Linked DNA regions of Nothobranchius furzeri. The protein of the gene in region 2 purifies or fractionates together with the protein of the main gene of each other region. This does not show direct contact. Links are inferred from orthologs where the notes say so. Each region holds a gene or a part of one and is shown on either strand. Other genes may lie near its edges.

Evidence for each region. The genes of interacting proteins can lie anywhere in the genome.
Region 1: the proteins of polr2f (region 2) and polr3f purify together in Homo sapiens (affinity purification with mass spectrometry; 4 studies listed by BioGRID and IntAct, with this or other methods). This does not show direct contact. The link is inferred for Nothobranchius furzeri from reciprocal best matches to the Homo sapiens genes POLR2F and POLR3F.
Region 3: the proteins of polr2f (region 2) and polr3k purify together in Homo sapiens (affinity purification with mass spectrometry; 5 studies listed by BioGRID and IntAct, with this or other methods). This does not show direct contact. The link is inferred for Nothobranchius furzeri from reciprocal best matches to the Homo sapiens genes POLR2F and POLR3K.
Region 4: the proteins of polr2f (region 2) and rpap2 purify together in Homo sapiens (affinity purification with mass spectrometry; 4 studies listed by BioGRID and IntAct, with this or other methods). This does not show direct contact. The link is inferred for Nothobranchius furzeri from reciprocal best matches to the Homo sapiens genes POLR2F and RPAP2.

What each region holds. Positions count from the first base shown.
Region 1 is NC_091746.1:29,575,664-29,579,903, forward strand, and holds the start of polr3f (DNA-directed RNA polymerase III subunit RPC6), read right to left. Parts: upstream 2,801-4,240; 5' UTR 2,665-2,800; intron 2,352-2,664; 5' UTR 2,203-2,351; coding exon 2,141-2,202; intron 1,732-2,140; coding exon 1,614-1,731; intron 1,536-1,613; coding exon 1,468-1,535; intron 1,393-1,467; coding exon 1,325-1,392; intron 1,245-1,324; coding exon 1,132-1,244; intron 952-1,131; coding exon 808-951; intron 1-807. Other genes in the region: dzank1 (double zinc ribbon and ankyrin repeat-containing protein 1), read left to right, coding at 3,092-3,200, 3,544-3,691, 3,780-3,882, 3,983-4,040. UniProt on the Homo sapiens protein: DNA-dependent RNA polymerase catalyzes the transcription of DNA into RNA using the four ribonucleoside triphosphates as substrates.
Region 2 is NC_091752.1:66,414,096-66,417,804, forward strand, and holds polr2f (DNA-directed RNA polymerases I, II, and III subunit RPABC2), read right to left. Parts: upstream 2,526-3,709; 5' UTR 2,390-2,525; coding exon 2,370-2,389; intron 2,114-2,369; coding exon 2,044-2,113; intron 1,956-2,043; coding exon 1,825-1,955; intron 1,027-1,824; coding exon 955-1,026; intron 861-954; coding exon 770-860; 3' UTR 501-769; downstream 1-500. UniProt on the Homo sapiens protein: DNA-dependent RNA polymerase catalyzes the transcription of DNA into RNA using the four ribonucleoside triphosphates as substrates.
Region 3 is NC_091745.1:3,876,687-3,879,948, forward strand, and holds polr3k (DNA-directed RNA polymerase III subunit RPC10), read right to left. Parts: upstream 1,769-3,262; 5' UTR 1,626-1,768; coding exon 1,515-1,625; intron 1,404-1,514; coding exon 1,316-1,403; intron 899-1,315; coding exon 771-898; 3' UTR 501-770; downstream 1-500. Other genes in the region: snrnp25 (U11/U12 small nuclear ribonucleoprotein 25 kDa protein), read left to right, coding at 2,095-2,316, 3,243-3,262. UniProt on the Homo sapiens protein: Core component of RNA polymerase III (Pol III) which synthesizes small non-coding RNAs using the four ribonucleoside triphosphates as substrates. Can mediate Pol I proofreading of the nascent RNA transcript.
Region 4 is NC_091751.1:71,621,142-71,625,100, reverse strand, and holds the start of rpap2 (putative RNA polymerase II subunit B1 CTD phosphatase rpap2), read right to left. Parts: upstream 2,801-3,959; 5' UTR 2,726-2,800; coding exon 2,668-2,725; exon of another isoform or gene 2,635-2,667; intron 1-2,634. Other genes in the region: glmna (glomulin, FKBP associated protein a), read left to right, coding at 2,996-3,034.

The DNA of each region.
Region 1 (4,240 bases), on a different chromosome or scaffold from region 2:
GAGCCGGCTCTTTTTGGTGAGCTGAGCCAAAAGAACCGGCTCTCTAAAAAGAGCTGGAACTTCCATCACTAGTACCAGCTGAGGGTACCTCTTAGCCAATAGCGATGGCAGGTTTAAATTCAAATGCAGTGAAGAGTTTTTACCTGACAACGGTACTACACTGACAGTTTTAGGCAGAAAATTTAAATTTGAACTAAAATGCACTAAAGTGCAAAACTATTGACTACACGTGTCTGCAGCACGATTAGGCATGCATTTATATAGTTTATCAGCAAATAAAGCTGATTTGGGGGTGACTTGCTCTTTAAGAATTATTGGTAAAAATCAAAAACAAAAGACAGGATGCATTTTAGATGTTGCTTTTGTGTTTTCAGCTCTTTTGTATTTTTACTCCAAATTTGAATTTATTTAATTTAAATCTGCTAAATAAATCCTCTAAAACATTAATGTAACTAACATTTTTTATTCACCTGTTTTCCTTATTTAATTCCTAATTAATTTGGTGACTTGTTTGAATAACTTTGATTAAATATTTGATTTTATTGCAGTTTAGTACAAAAATAAGACTCAACAGGGTCAGGAATGTTGAGCATCAGCTGCGCTTTAGCAGGCAGGTGGGAAAAAAATTAAAATCAAGATGTTGGCAACAGAAAAACCCACATTGGATGATTTCCACTGCAGAAGTCATCCATATTTGTGGACAAGTTCAGGCTGTTGCTGAGGTGAACACCCATTTTTGTGCTCCTCTGCTGTTTTAGTGCACGCGTGTGTGTGTGTGTGTGTGTGTGTGTGTGTGTGTGTGTGTACCTTGCTCTGGAGGAATTTGAAGCACTGCTGGTTCAGAACTTCCACAAACTCTGACTCAAAGTCCTGGTCACTGTACCAGGCCCCACCTGTTACTGAGCGGTCTGGCTGCAGGTTGTACAGCATGTAAACCTTCTTCTTTGATGCCTACACACACACACACACACACACACACACACACACACACACACACACACACACACACACACACACACACACACACACACACACACACACACACACACACACACACACACTTTGATCACTAGTTAGAAAGCAATGCTCTGGTTTATGAACCGGCTACGTTTTTGTTCCGACAGCACTCACCGCCACAGACTTGACAGCTTTTATGAGTTTTTTGCTCTCGAGGTTCTTCAGGATCTTGTTGATCTCGGTCAGAGGGAGGTTGCTCTTAAAGCGGATGTCTCTGCTCCAGATTCCTGCAGCCACATTACACAGCCGTGATGTTCTAATCCGTTAGTGGTGAGCTGCATGTTTCTAGACATAAATAGGTTGGTACCTTTGTTTCCTGCATCTTCAATCACCTGATAGACCAGCTTCTCCTGGCTGTCTGAGCCTTTCATCTTACTGAAGCACAGAAAGGCGTTTCAGAGAGGCAGAACCAAACCACACAGGGGCCAGCGAGCAGATCTCAGGTCTTACCTGGACATCTGAGAGTCCTTTAGTCTGTACAGGAGACCTGAACTGTTCCTGAGAAGGTCCAGGTGACCCTATAATAGAATAGAACACCAGTTCAGATCATCCATCAGCATCACAGAGACCGACATGGGTCAGGTCCTCGAACCCACCAGGGCCAGCAGCTTGTTAATGGCCATGGCTCTCTGCTGAGGCTCCAGGTGAGGCATGTCGTTCTGGATCACCTGGTCTGTGATACCTTGAGGAAACTGCTGACACAGATCTTTGATCCTGGGTCACAGAAACAAGTTTAAACACATCAGAACGTCTTTTCACGTATGATTAACTTTTGTTTTTAAAGCAGTTTTCGCTTCAATCAGCTGCCTCCAATTCTCCTCTTATTTGCAACAAACTTATGTTTTATTTAACATGTATGAAAGCAATGCCTCTGTCCGTGTGCAAGACAGCAAACAGGTGTAACAGAACGATGGTGCAAATCTGGCAGCCACGTTGAAGACATGAAGTCTACTTTGGGACTTTCTTTTGACAAATAAACGAGTGAAGTGAATGCCGAAGTCTGAGTGAGCCTGTTCCCGTCCCGAAAACGGGTCCAAACTCAACTTGTCACCGATATGTGAGAGATTGTGGATGAGAAACGTTCAAATCGACCGAATGGACACAGAATCCGGTCCGTTCCAACCTGCTCTCCACCTCCGCGGGTTCCGTCTGGTTCATCTCCTTCTTCACCTTCACCTCCGCCATTCTGAACCGGTCGTGTGGCTCGTGTCCGAGCAGCGGCTCCGTTAAGGCGGTGATTCTGGTCCGCCACAATCAATCTCAGAGCAGGCGGTATCAAGATTGCCCTGGAGGGGTCCTTACAGATGTTTACCCAGCGGTAGGTGTCCGGAAAACTGCCCGTTCAAAAATAAATTAATTGAGATTCAGTTGAGCGGTTAAGTGAAAGACAAAAAAAATCTTATTTTAATCCTCAAAATTACTTCTCATTTTTTAATGTTTTTCAATTGAACCCACTTTTTATATTATTTTTACAATTTAAATAAAACGAGTTACTGAAACACCAGTGCCTACATTCAAATAAATCCAAGCGGAGAAAATTTCTCTAAACATTCATGAGATGCTAGTCCTGTCATTTCTAGGAACTTCTAAAGAGTGAACTTGTAGAAAGTTTCGCGGCAGCCCCGAGGGGCAGGCACTTGTGCTTACTCGTTCGTCTCAGACAGACTCTGTTGCCATGGTGACGTTGTATAAACGCTGCAGTTCTCAGAAGTGTCTCATCTCCCAGCCAGCTCGATGCGTCTGTATTCTTGAGCTCATAACCGTAAAAACGGTTCCGCTACACAACAAGAACTGTGCGGTACGGGAGCGGTAAACCGGTAGCCAGCGGAGGGCGCTGTCTAATGGCTGACAGCTGATTAATATCAGTGTTGAGACGTTATAACCTCTTATTTAGTACATTAGATTGCTATCCTGTTTTTTCAGATATCATCACGTCTCAGTGAGTTGTGACGGTCTAGCTGGACGTTTGTGAGCAGCACTTTTAAAACAAGGACTCAAAAAACTCAAGTTTTCTTTTCTGCTTTAACTGAAGAAGAAGAAACCCTGATCTCCTGATTTGTTGATATCCGTTACCATGGCAGCAGGAGCTGTTTTACCTCCACTTATCATTCCCATCATCTACCTGCCAACTCATCGAGCCAAGAAGCACATCGATACCACAACACCTGTCTCCATCCAGTCAGGTACCCCCCCCCCCCCCCCCCCCCACACACACACACACACACACACACACACACCACACACTTCTGTCCTCCATTCATCTATCTATCCATCCATTCATATTCTTTTGTTAATTTCACAACACACACACACAGCATGGATCTAGCTGGTTCCAGCTTTTTCTAGCAAGCTCTATCCGGTTCTAGCTGGATACAGGACGGATCTTCTGTGTTGCAGCAGATCTGAAGAAACTTCTGACTGAAGATACTTTGTGGTTGAATTATTGTCTTGCGACGAGGCTGATCGGGGTTTCTGCTAAATTTGCCACCTTGCAGCGCTGATCTAAACAACAGTTTGTGCGTGCAGACTCTGCAGGTGTGCTGATCTTCTATACGTTGGATGGGTCGAAGCCAGAGCTGGGGCAGAGAGGGGCAGCTGGCAGCAGCAGGAAGTACACAGAGCCCATCCTGCTACCTGCTGGTCGGGTGTCTGTCAAAGCTGTGGCTGTCACCAGGTAAACACTCACCTGATAACGAGTGACAGGAATAAAAGTAGCACTGCATCACTTCCTGTTTATCAGACCATAACTGTGTTTGATACAGTGATGGCAGACAGAGCTCTGTGGTGACCAAGGTCTTCTCAGTGGTTCAACTGGATTCAGGCAGCACTGTGGAGAACCAGAATAGTCTGCAGAACCACTTGAAGGTAAACACTCACCCGCTGCTCTGCATATTCCATAAACCCGTCCTCTATTTGTATGAAACTATCTGCCCTTGCTCATTCCTTCATTGTTCTGTTACTTCAGCCTGATGGAACTTGTGATTCTGCTGAGAAATCACTTGGTTCTCCACAAAGATCTGTAGGTAAGTACGAAAAGGTCCACTAGTACACACCTGCACCCAAACCAGGTTTAATCCATCCATCCATCCTAGTCTAATTTATTATTCATTCATTTTCTGAACTTCTTGCATCTGAGTGGAGTCTTGGGGACACACGGAGACAGATACCCAGCCACACGCTCACTCACACCTACGGTACAGGCCAAAGCTTTGGACACACCTTC
Region 2 (3,709 bases):
CAAAAGGTTTGTGTTTTATGTTCTGTCCATTTTAGAATCGCCAATACGGACCTGAAAAACAAAGGAGACCGCTAGCTAGGTGATAACTTCTCACGGGGCCGCACAGTTAGTAACTTTTTTTAAAAGTAAAGCAACCGGAAGGCAGTACGTTCTTTATTCTGAAAATCTCGGGAGCTTCTCTCCATTTCCGCGTCCGATTTCCTGTCTTTCCTTCCCCAAAAATGTCGAACTTGACCCGTTTCAGAGGCGTCGCGTGTAGAAAATAGAACCGGCGCGTAAAGGCCGCGACATGCTGCTCCTGAGAAGCGGCCGACTCGCGCTGCTGACGGCTCCGGTGGAAAAGGTTCTGTTGACCACAGCGGTTCCTATCAGCAGCTATGACGCGCTGCTGACGGCTCCTGTGGAAAGAAGGGGTGACATTTAATTTTCTAAATGAAACAACCGCAGCAACACATTTCTGTTTTAAACCAGAGATTTGTACATAAATCCATCACAGCAGCTTCTAGAAATGACTTTATTAACAATAAAACATTCATTTACACCGTCTCTTCCGAAAAACAAAACAAGCCGTTTAGACTCCTCACGGATGCATAAAAAGTATTTAACTAAAGGTTCTCGTCTCTCCTCCTCAAGTAGATGTTAAAATGGTGAAAAGAAATTAAAACAACATATTCATAAACGGATCCCAGCAGGCAAACGTACAACTCTGTAAAAGTTAGTGAGTCTCTAAAAGTCCAGAGATGATGATGTGTGATGCTGGTTAGGATGTTTAATCAGTTATGATGAGCTCATCACAGCCCCAGTCCTCGTAACTCCCATCAGGAAGGTACCTGCGGATGATGATGGGGATCTTTCTGCCCCTTTTGGAGAAAGAGAAGAAAAGATGAGTGAAGTAAAAAGTTGTTCGTTAAATAAAACCAAAGCCAAAAGTTGGTGCTTGTCAAAGTGACTTACTTAAGTTCTTTCATAGCGATCTGCAGAGGGTCAGTCTCTCCCTCCAGCTCCACCATGACAGGAGCACACATCCTGTTGGAATCAAGCCAGCACAGGAAAAACACTTTTATTCAGGCAGACTGATGCAACATGGGAATATGGGGTTTATAGTGGGCTAATTTCTCTAAAGCTGGGAAAAAAGTGACTCATTAGTTGCAGCCATCCAGCCAGCATTGGAAATTAAATACAAATAATTCTGCATGTAGATTCAAACGCTACTTTTAGCTTTAAAATGGGCTTTGGCATGCTTTTATTTTGAAAGCAGATGAGGCATTTACACAAGCAGCCGCCTGTTTCCAGGAATTTCTGCTGGTGGGAATTCAGAGAGCCCAAACTCAAGACAAAAACAGAATCAGGAGTTGATTTTACTGATTTACCTAAATAACCTTCTGTTGATACTAGGTGTTAATGCGCTATTTAGCATATTTAAGTTTTTACTTAACCCTCCCACTGTCTTCATGGGTGACCCCGCCAGGAAAGTTGACCACTGAGCAGGATGGATGGTTTATCCCTTGATGTCTACATGGCAGGGGTGAGGTGGTGCTCACTTCTCACCCCTGCCACATGGACCCAAGGGATAAACCATCATCCCTGCTCAATGGTCAACTTTCCTCGCGGGGTCACACCCATCAGGACAATGGGAGGGTTAAATGTCTTTTGGAAAAACGAAACTTTTACTGACATAAATCCCGAAATGAGCCCAGCTAATTTCACTGAACATCTCTAAATACTAAGTTTAGGGAGGAAACCTACTCTCAGTGAAAATGTGTTTAACGAGTTAAAGATCAAACACACTCAGCTTTAACCGTGATCTCATGTAAACACACTCACGCTATCTGCAAGGCTCTGGTCCCTAGCACTCTGGCCCGCTCGTATTTCGTCATATACGGTGTGGTGATCCTCTTCTGGTTGGCCTGCTGGCCTTCTCCTGCAGGTAGGATCTGCACATTCTCCTGATCCTCCTATTCACCAGAGCAAAACAAACAAGCTCAGACCAGGAGACAGCTTCATAAAAGTCTCAAGTGGTGATCCGTCTCTGTAATAACTCACATCTTCGACGTTCTCCAGGTCGTCTAGTCCTTCGTCCTCCTCTGCATAATCAAAATCTCCATCATCGAAGCTACGGAGTTAAAACCTTTGATCAGATATCTTAAACTTTAGGTGATTCATAACTTTTAACAAGCTTTATTGAAAAAGTACAAAAGTACGTAAACTTGGATGGGAGACTGAATAAAACAGGACGTAAGCAGCAATACACAGAATAGGCAAGGATCATAATAAACAATACCGTGTGATGCTAATCGAGTTAGCATCCCCGTTAGCTTACGTCGATTATACAAAATGACGCAGATTATTTAAACGATTTCTTTACTTACTTGTCTTCGTTGTCCGACATGATAAATTTTTAGAGTAGTATATATCCGTGTAAAATATTTTAACGTTTCTAGGCTACACTTTTGTAACCAACACGAATCCACATGAACGTTGCACTGGCTGGTACGCTACTAAACATTCCGGTCGGCCAAAAGAACCTCGTTAGAGTTCCCTTTCCGGTCTGTCTTTTTTTTTTTTTTTTTTTTTTTTTGATGTTTCAGAAGCATCAACAAGGTTTACCGTTGCAACACTGCCACCTTCTGGAGTTAAGTCATTTTCCATTTAGTTTGATCTGTAAATTCTACCAACTGTAGGTTAAATAAAGGCTGAATAATCCCCATTCTCTCTCTCTCCTCACTTTCTTTAATGAATTGTTATAATCAAGTGCTAAAGATTTAAGGAATTTGACACGTAAAAAAATATTATTTATATGTGCAATTAATCAAATTAATGCCAAATTATTTCACGAATAAATCATTACATACATAAATTGTTAAATGGGCCATGGATGAAAATTTTTAATTATTTTGTTTTAAATCCTAAAATGCACACCGACTCCTCCAAATCCAAGGCCTGTTTATTGACTAGAGAAGACTGGGGCTGAATCCAGCGATGAATTAATGAGAATTCTTCCGGTCGCTTCCCAGGAGAAGTGTTCCAGGCATGTCTTGCCTGTAGGAGGCCCCCAGCTCGATCCAGGACATGTTGGAGGAATCATCATGTCTACTGGCCAGGGATTTCCATGGGGTTCTACCGGTGGACCTGACTGAGATCCTGGAGAGAGGACCATTTCGACTTCACTGCCAGCTCCGCCATGTAATAATTACTAAAATTGTACAGTTTAATGATTATCTGTAATTTTTACATCAAATAAATGTTTTTATTTATAGCACATTCATTAAAATCATATATACATAATTATTTCATATTTCAACCAACTAATGACACATTCAATTAATGATATAAATTTTTTATGTACTTTTGGCCCTCTATTTGGTTGTATGTCATGGCTAACGAACGTGGTCTTAAGCTTATTATCTGCACAAACAACATAAATCATCTCACGTAGAGCTAACGTGTCTGTCAGAACGTCACCCAAACATTCATGACGCGCCTATTTTAAAAGGTGACACACCACAAGGCTGCCACCTGATGGTCACTGTGGTACACTGCAATTTCCCTCATTTAACAGGGCCGGTTTCCACCAAAGTGAAATAAATAAATAAATAAATAAATAAATAAATAAATACATACATACAAAGGACCAGCTTTTTAGAATCAGAATCAGAAGGTTTTATTGCCATATGTGTGCCAAGTCACAACATTAGGAAATTGCTGCGGT
Region 3 (3,262 bases), on a different chromosome or scaffold from region 2:
ACCAGGCCACCCAGATATGTAAACAACCTACGCTACCCGGCCCGGGCCGACCCGGTACAGATGGGAATGGTCCACAAGTGTACTGAAGGCGATAGACAAGCTAATCACTTAAAAACGAAAGCATGACATCTTGGTGTGTGTTTTTCTGTCAGGCTCATGCAGCACCATTTCAGATTTAGCTGATCTTAAGAGGTTTTAAAAACTGAGTACTAAGCCATTAAGGATTCACCTAAATGAAGGTTCTTCGCTTAGATGAAATGAAATACATTTGATTAGTGAGATTTTAATGAGCTTCATGAAGTTGTTGAATTAGACCTTTTGCAAAAGTGATTCTGAACACTAACAGTGAATCATCTCAGCATGTGGGATACATCAGCCACTAATGCTTCTCGCAGTTTGCCTGGGCTATACCTTTAGTAATAATCATTGATGTGCTCCGACTCTGTGCATATTTTTTTCCTCAAGACTGAAAAATCTGTGCAAAATATAAAACAAAAAAACACATTTTGTGAAGGATTGTAATGGAACTTTAGTCATGTTGTGAAAACTGCTGGTCTGCATCGCTCCAGATGTCTGATGTACAACTATGTACGCAATTTATGTGACTGTACACAGGCGCTATTTTACCAATAAAAATCATGAAGTAAACACTTTGTCATGTGGAACATTTATCACAACTGGAAAGTAAATGGTGCAAATAAATACAGAAGAAAAGGAAAACCAGGCCAGAAATCATCTGAACATTTGAAATAACTACAAGTAGAAAACTTTCAGTCTCTCCATCGATGTCCACACTGGGCATTACAGCATTTGTAGAAAGTTGTCATGGGTTCATCAGCAGATCTGGTCTGAATCTGCATGAAATACGCCCGAGGATGCTCACACTTGGGACATTTTTCTGTACAGAGATAGAGAAGGAATATGTCAGCTTAGAGGCCACACCGGTATGTACCATCTTATACCCCAAATACCTCTGGTATGTCCAGGTTTTAGTTTAAGAATGTTAATCTTAAGAAATCACTAATCCTGTTTAAGGATCATGAATTGTTTTAAGGAGATAAATAATAGTTTATTAAGCATCTAGCCAATTCTACTATGACCTAAATAAAGATACAGGATATCAGGATTGTTGAATGGTTTGGCTTGAACAAAAAGAAAAACTGAAAATCCTGGATTAATCCGTTTGTATAATTGAAAATTGGAAGTACACTTTTCTCATTTTAGGCGTTAAAACACTTTAATTACTTAACTAAAACTAAAGAATATGCTAAACATTTGTATGCAGACTCCAGGAAGTCATTTTAATGTTATTTACCTGCAGTTGAATCCACGTTCTCCCACGCAGCAGCCCCACCGAGAACATCATCCACCTCCTTTAATTTGGGATACTTTCGGTTGTTTACCTTCAAGAGAAATAAAACAAGACCTTAAACTTACAAACCTAACGACAAATATTTTGTGTTTCTGACACCAACTAGATGATGAAACCTGGTTTAGTTACGGGTGACTCCTACCTTTCTTGTGATGTTGTGTATGTAAGGACAGGTGTTACACGCGAACCTCATACACTTCTGTCCTTCTTCTACGATCAAAACGTTTCCACAGGTAGGGCAAAAGAGTAGCATTTTAAATGTAATCAATTTGGTCGCAAACCATCAACTAAATGGAATCTAAATGTGATTTCACCAGAAACCATCTGCTGCGTAGAGAAAACCGGAAGTCGACTGATGAAAACAGCTCGAACGGAAACAACCGGAAGTCGCTAATCGTTTAAACAACATGCCTAATTGTATGTAAACAATTCTATATTAAAATGAATGTTATTAATTTATGATAAGAATACGTATTTATCAAATGTTAACGCAGCTGTTCATTTTTATTTTCATCAAGTGGAACCTTTTACATAAGGTCCATTTCCGTTCCGGTAGTTTGTTTGTACTGCACACAGTTACATACGGGCTTTTGCTGTTCTAATTCTTCTTTTTTAGCAGCAGTTTTGAAGTAAACCTGTAATTGTTGTCCAGGTAAATTGTATCCAGACGACGTTTTCTAGCAGGAAACCCGGAAGGTACCCAATAGCTGGATGATTATCGGATGGAGGAGGAGCAGAGTCCAGGTTCTGCTGTAGTCAAAGGAGGTGAAGGAGCGCAACTAGTGCAGGATGAGGAGGTGAAAAAGGAGAGCTTCCTAAACGAGGCAGCTGCTGAGGAGGAGGACGATGAAGATTCTCTCCCTCACTCTGAGATCCTGGATATTTTTGAAGAAGGACTTGCTCGACTTGTGCAGGACCCTTTACTCTGCGACCTGCCAATCCAGGTGTTATTTCTGAGTGCCCTCAGTTACTCTGAAGGAAAACGTGTGTTGTCACCTTTATTTGAGATTCACTCATTGGAGCTGGTCTATTTTATTTTTAAAGTCCAATGACGATTGTAGAAGATATTTGGGCCAGGATTATACTTTTGTAGGATTTAGTAAATCACACTGTTACAATATCGTTGGGTATTGCGATGACGATAACAGTTGTGCTAAATCCTCATTTTCCTCACTCTGTTACCACACATCACTCACCACTGGTGTGTTTTCAGCAATAGCATTAAGGAGATTCAGTCACATGAACATGTCCCCATCTACTGTGAATCAAGCTGTTTTTGTGTGCCACTGAAGCAGTCACAGTGATGATGTTTTGTGATACATTGTGCAGCTTTTGTTACTTTAGTCAAAAGTTTGGACACACACCTCACCTGCAATTTCCAAACAGTCTATTTAGATACCTATTAAAACTCAAATGGATCCCATTTGCACTACAAAGTGTTTATGAATCAATTTGCAAGCTTCCAATGGAGTAAAAACAGCAGATCACTGCATATTACAGTTTTTATTAGAGCAAAGACAAAATTATCTCCCCAAAGTCCTTGCTGATGTCTCTTCTTGCTTGTATGTTAAAGCTGTGTGATTTGTACTCTGTCCTAATATTGGTTACACAAGAGGACAGCAGTAGAAGTATTAGCTCACGTCTACCTTGTGCATTTTGTTAGGTCAATAAAGTATATTCAAAATATTTCACTGTATTTTGCTCAACTTGTCAAAGTATTTCCAAATTTAAGACCAGCAATAAATCTTCATAATCTAACAGCAAGTCCTCTCAGGGTTGTGAGCTTTTCTAGATGATGATGGTCTGATGTGTGCAGAGAAATGGTAATCGGTGGCGTCAATTTTAATGTTTTTTTTTTCTGTACCATCAGGTCACACTGGAAGAAGTAAA
Region 4 (3,959 bases), on a different chromosome or scaffold from region 2:
GATGAACTACAGAAGGACCTGGACCTGGTGATGAACTACAGAAGGACCAGGTGATGAACTACAGAAGGACCAGGTGATGAACTACAGAAGGACCTGGTGATGAACTACAGAAGGACCTGGTGATGAACTACAGAAGGACCTGGACCTGGTGATGAACTACAGAAGGACCTGGACCTGGTGATGAACTACAGAAGGACCGGGTGATGAACTACAGAAGGACCTGGTGATGAACTACAGAAGGACCGGGTGATGAACTACAGAAGGACCGGGTGATGAACTACAGAAGGACCTGGACCTGGTGATGAACTACAGAAGGACCTGGACCTGGTGATGAACTACAGAAGGACCTGGACCTGGTGATGAACTACAGAAGGACCAGGTGATGAACTACAGAAGGACCTGGACCTGGTGATGAACTACAGAAGGACCGGGTGATGAACTACAGAAGGACCTGGTGATGAACTACAGAAGGACCGGGTGATGAACTACAGAAGGACCGGGTGATGAACTACAGAAGGACCGGGTGATGAACTACAGAAGGACCAGGTGATGAACTACAGAAGGACCTGGACCTGGTGATGAACTACAGAAGGACCAGGTGATGAACTACAGAAGGACCTGGTGATGAACTACAGAAGGACCAGGTGATGAACTACAGAAGGACCTGGTGATGAACTACAGAAGGACCAGGTGATGAACTACAGAAGGACCAGGTGATGAACTACAGAAGGACCTGGACCTGGTGATGAACTACAGAAGGACCAGGTGATGAACTACAGAAGGACCAGGTGATGAACTACAGAAGGACCTGGTGATGAACTACAGAAGGACCTGGTGATGAACTACAGAAGGACCTGGACCTGGTGATGAACTACAGAAGGACCTGGACCTGGTGATGAACTACAGAAGGACCGGGTGATGAACTACAGAAGGACCTGGTGATGAACTACAGAAGGACCGGGTGATGAACTACAGAAGGACCGGGTGATGAACTACAGAAGGACCTGGACCTGGTGATGAACTACAGAAGGACCTGGACCTGGTGATGAACTACAGAAGGACCTGGACCTGGTGATGAACTACAGAAGGACCAGGTGATGAACTACAGAAGGACCTGGACCTGGTGATGAACTACAGAAGGACCAGGTGATGAACTACAGAAGGACCTGGTGATGAACTACAGAAGGACCAGGTGATGAACTACAGAATGACCTGATGATGAACTACAGAAGGACCTGGTGATGAACTACAGAAGGACCGGGTGATGAACTACAGAAGGACCTGGTGATGAACTACAGAAGGACCTGGACCTGGTGATGAACTACAGAAGGACCTGGTGATGAACTACAGAAGGACCGGGTGATGAACTACAGAAGGACCTGGTGATGAACTACAGAAGGACCAGGTGATGAACTACAAAAGGACCTGGTGATGAACTACAGAAGGACCTGGTGATGAACTACAGAAGGACCTGGACCTGGTGATGAACTACAGAAGGACCTGGTGATGAACTACAGAAGGACCTGGTGATGAACTACAGAAGGACCGGGTGATGAACTACAGAAGGACCTGGTGATGAACTACAGAAGGACCAGGTGATGAACTACAGAAGGACCAGGTGATGAACTACAGAAGGACCTGGTGATGAACTACAGAAGGACCTGGTGATGAACTACAGAAGGACCTGGACCTGGTGATGAACTACAGAAGGACCTGGACCTGGTGATGAACTACAGAAGAACTGGGTGAGGAACTACAGAAGGACCTGGTGATGAACTACAGAAGGACCGGGTGATGAACTACAGAAGGACCGGGTGATGAACTACAGAAGGACCTGGTGATGAACTACAGAAGGACCTGGTGATGAACTACAGAAGGACCTGGACCTGGTGATGAACTACAGAAGGACCTGGTGATGAACTACAGAAGGACCTGGTGATGAACTACAGAAGGACCTGGTGATGAACTACAGAAGGACCTGGTGATGAACTACAGAAGGACCTGGACCTGGTGATGAACTACAGAAGGACCTGGTGATGAACTACAGAAGGACCTGGTGATGAACTACAGAAGGACCGGGTGATGAACTACAGAAGGACCTGGTGATGAACTACAGAAGGACCAGGTGATGAACTACAGAAGGACCAGGTGATGAACTACAGAAGGACCTGGTGATGAACTACAGAAGGACCTGGTGATGAACTACTGAAGGACCTGGACCTGGTGATGAACTACAGAAGGACCTGGACCTGGTGATGAACTACAGAAGGACCTGGACGTGGTGATGAACTACAGAAGGACCTGGACCTGGTGATGAACTACAGAAGGACCTGGTGATGAACTACAGAAGGACCGGGTGATGAACTACAGAAGGACCGGGTGATGAACTACAGAAGGACCGGGTGATGAACTACAGAAGGACCTGGTGATGAACTATAGAAGGACCTGGTGATGAACTACAGAAGGAGCAGCTCTGATCCGCGACAGGTTTGTTTCGGTTCTTTTCTACAGAGAACGAGTCTGTTCCACCTTCCCGCTGAAAGCGGAACGGGAACAAGCTCCACTGCTGGGTCGAACCGGACCGGAAAATCAACACGGAACGGACGTAACGAGGGTGAAAACGTTGTCCTGTTTCCGGTAAACTCTGGATTGGGATTAAAAACCAACCTTTCCTGGAGGTTTTAGTGGAGCCTCCTCTCCTCCTCCTGCTCTCCACCAGCTCCATGTTTCTTCTGTGTTCACCTTTGACCTGTGACGTTTCTACGGTAGCTGAGGGGGTCAAACCGGAAGGCGCGCTGCATCGGAGATGTAAATGTGGTTTGTTTGGGTCATGAAGGAAAGGTTTGTGTGATGTTTTTATCTGCTGTGATTCCAGAAGCTTCCCGCTCTGTTCGCGTCTCCGACTGAAGCTCCGGCTCGCGGTGGCCTCGCGCGGACCTAGCTTGTTTCAAACGGAAGTGCCTCTCTGTTTCCGGCTGATCCGAGGACAGCAGCGATGGCTCTGGAGCAGCTCAGTGATGTGGTCCAGAGATGTGTGAGTCTCATGTTGTCCTGTCATCCCTCCTGCTGCACACCGGCGTCTCAAAGCCCCAGAGGCTGTTTCTGTCCCTCCACCCATCTGACTCGTGACTTAGTGGCGCGAGCTACGCAGGGCAGTGGAGTCTGGTGTGTCCACCTACCTGTCCACTGATGTTCAGATTGTCCCTCACCACCACCACGTGGCTTTAACAGCTCTAGGGAAGAAGCTGTTCCTCAGCCTGGTGGTTGTGGCCTTGATATTCCTGTACCGCTTCCTCGATGGTGGCGGCATCAACAGTTTGTGACCTGGATGGAAGGGATCAGCAGCGATACGGTTAGCCTTCCTTTGTAGTCGGATGGTATATACTCCAGAGTCCAGATCTGGTAGTGGGCCCCCCACGATCCACTGAGCAGTTTTCACCACCCTGGCCAGGTCTTTTTTGTTCTGGACGATGCAGCTGCCATACCACACCGTCATGCTGGGTGATAGGATGCTCTCAGTCATGGCTATGTGCAGCTTTAGTATCGCTGTGCTAAATGGCCCAGGGAGCCCCAGTGCAGCGTTCAGTGACACAAACCAAAATCTGAGATACAAGTTACCAAACAACAGCAACCAAGCGACGACACCCGAATCGGGCGAGATGAGGGAGATCTGTAGCGTTGCTGGTTCTACTCCAGTCTCCAGCGTGCTACCATCACTCAGGAACAAGACACAGGTGGTTTGAGCTCCTCCACCTCAGACAAAGACGGCCCTCCCTTTTTCTCTGCGTCACTCAGCGCCGAAGCGCTCAGGTGCATGCTGGAGGTCATGGACCAGAGCACCAGAAGGTTACCTTTGCTGAGGTTTTCAGATCCTGTGAGTTCTATGTTCTGGCCCACGTGTGTTTTGCTTTGTTCCGTCGGGTTAGGGTTGGCGCCTTGGCCCTCAGATCAAACCCTTC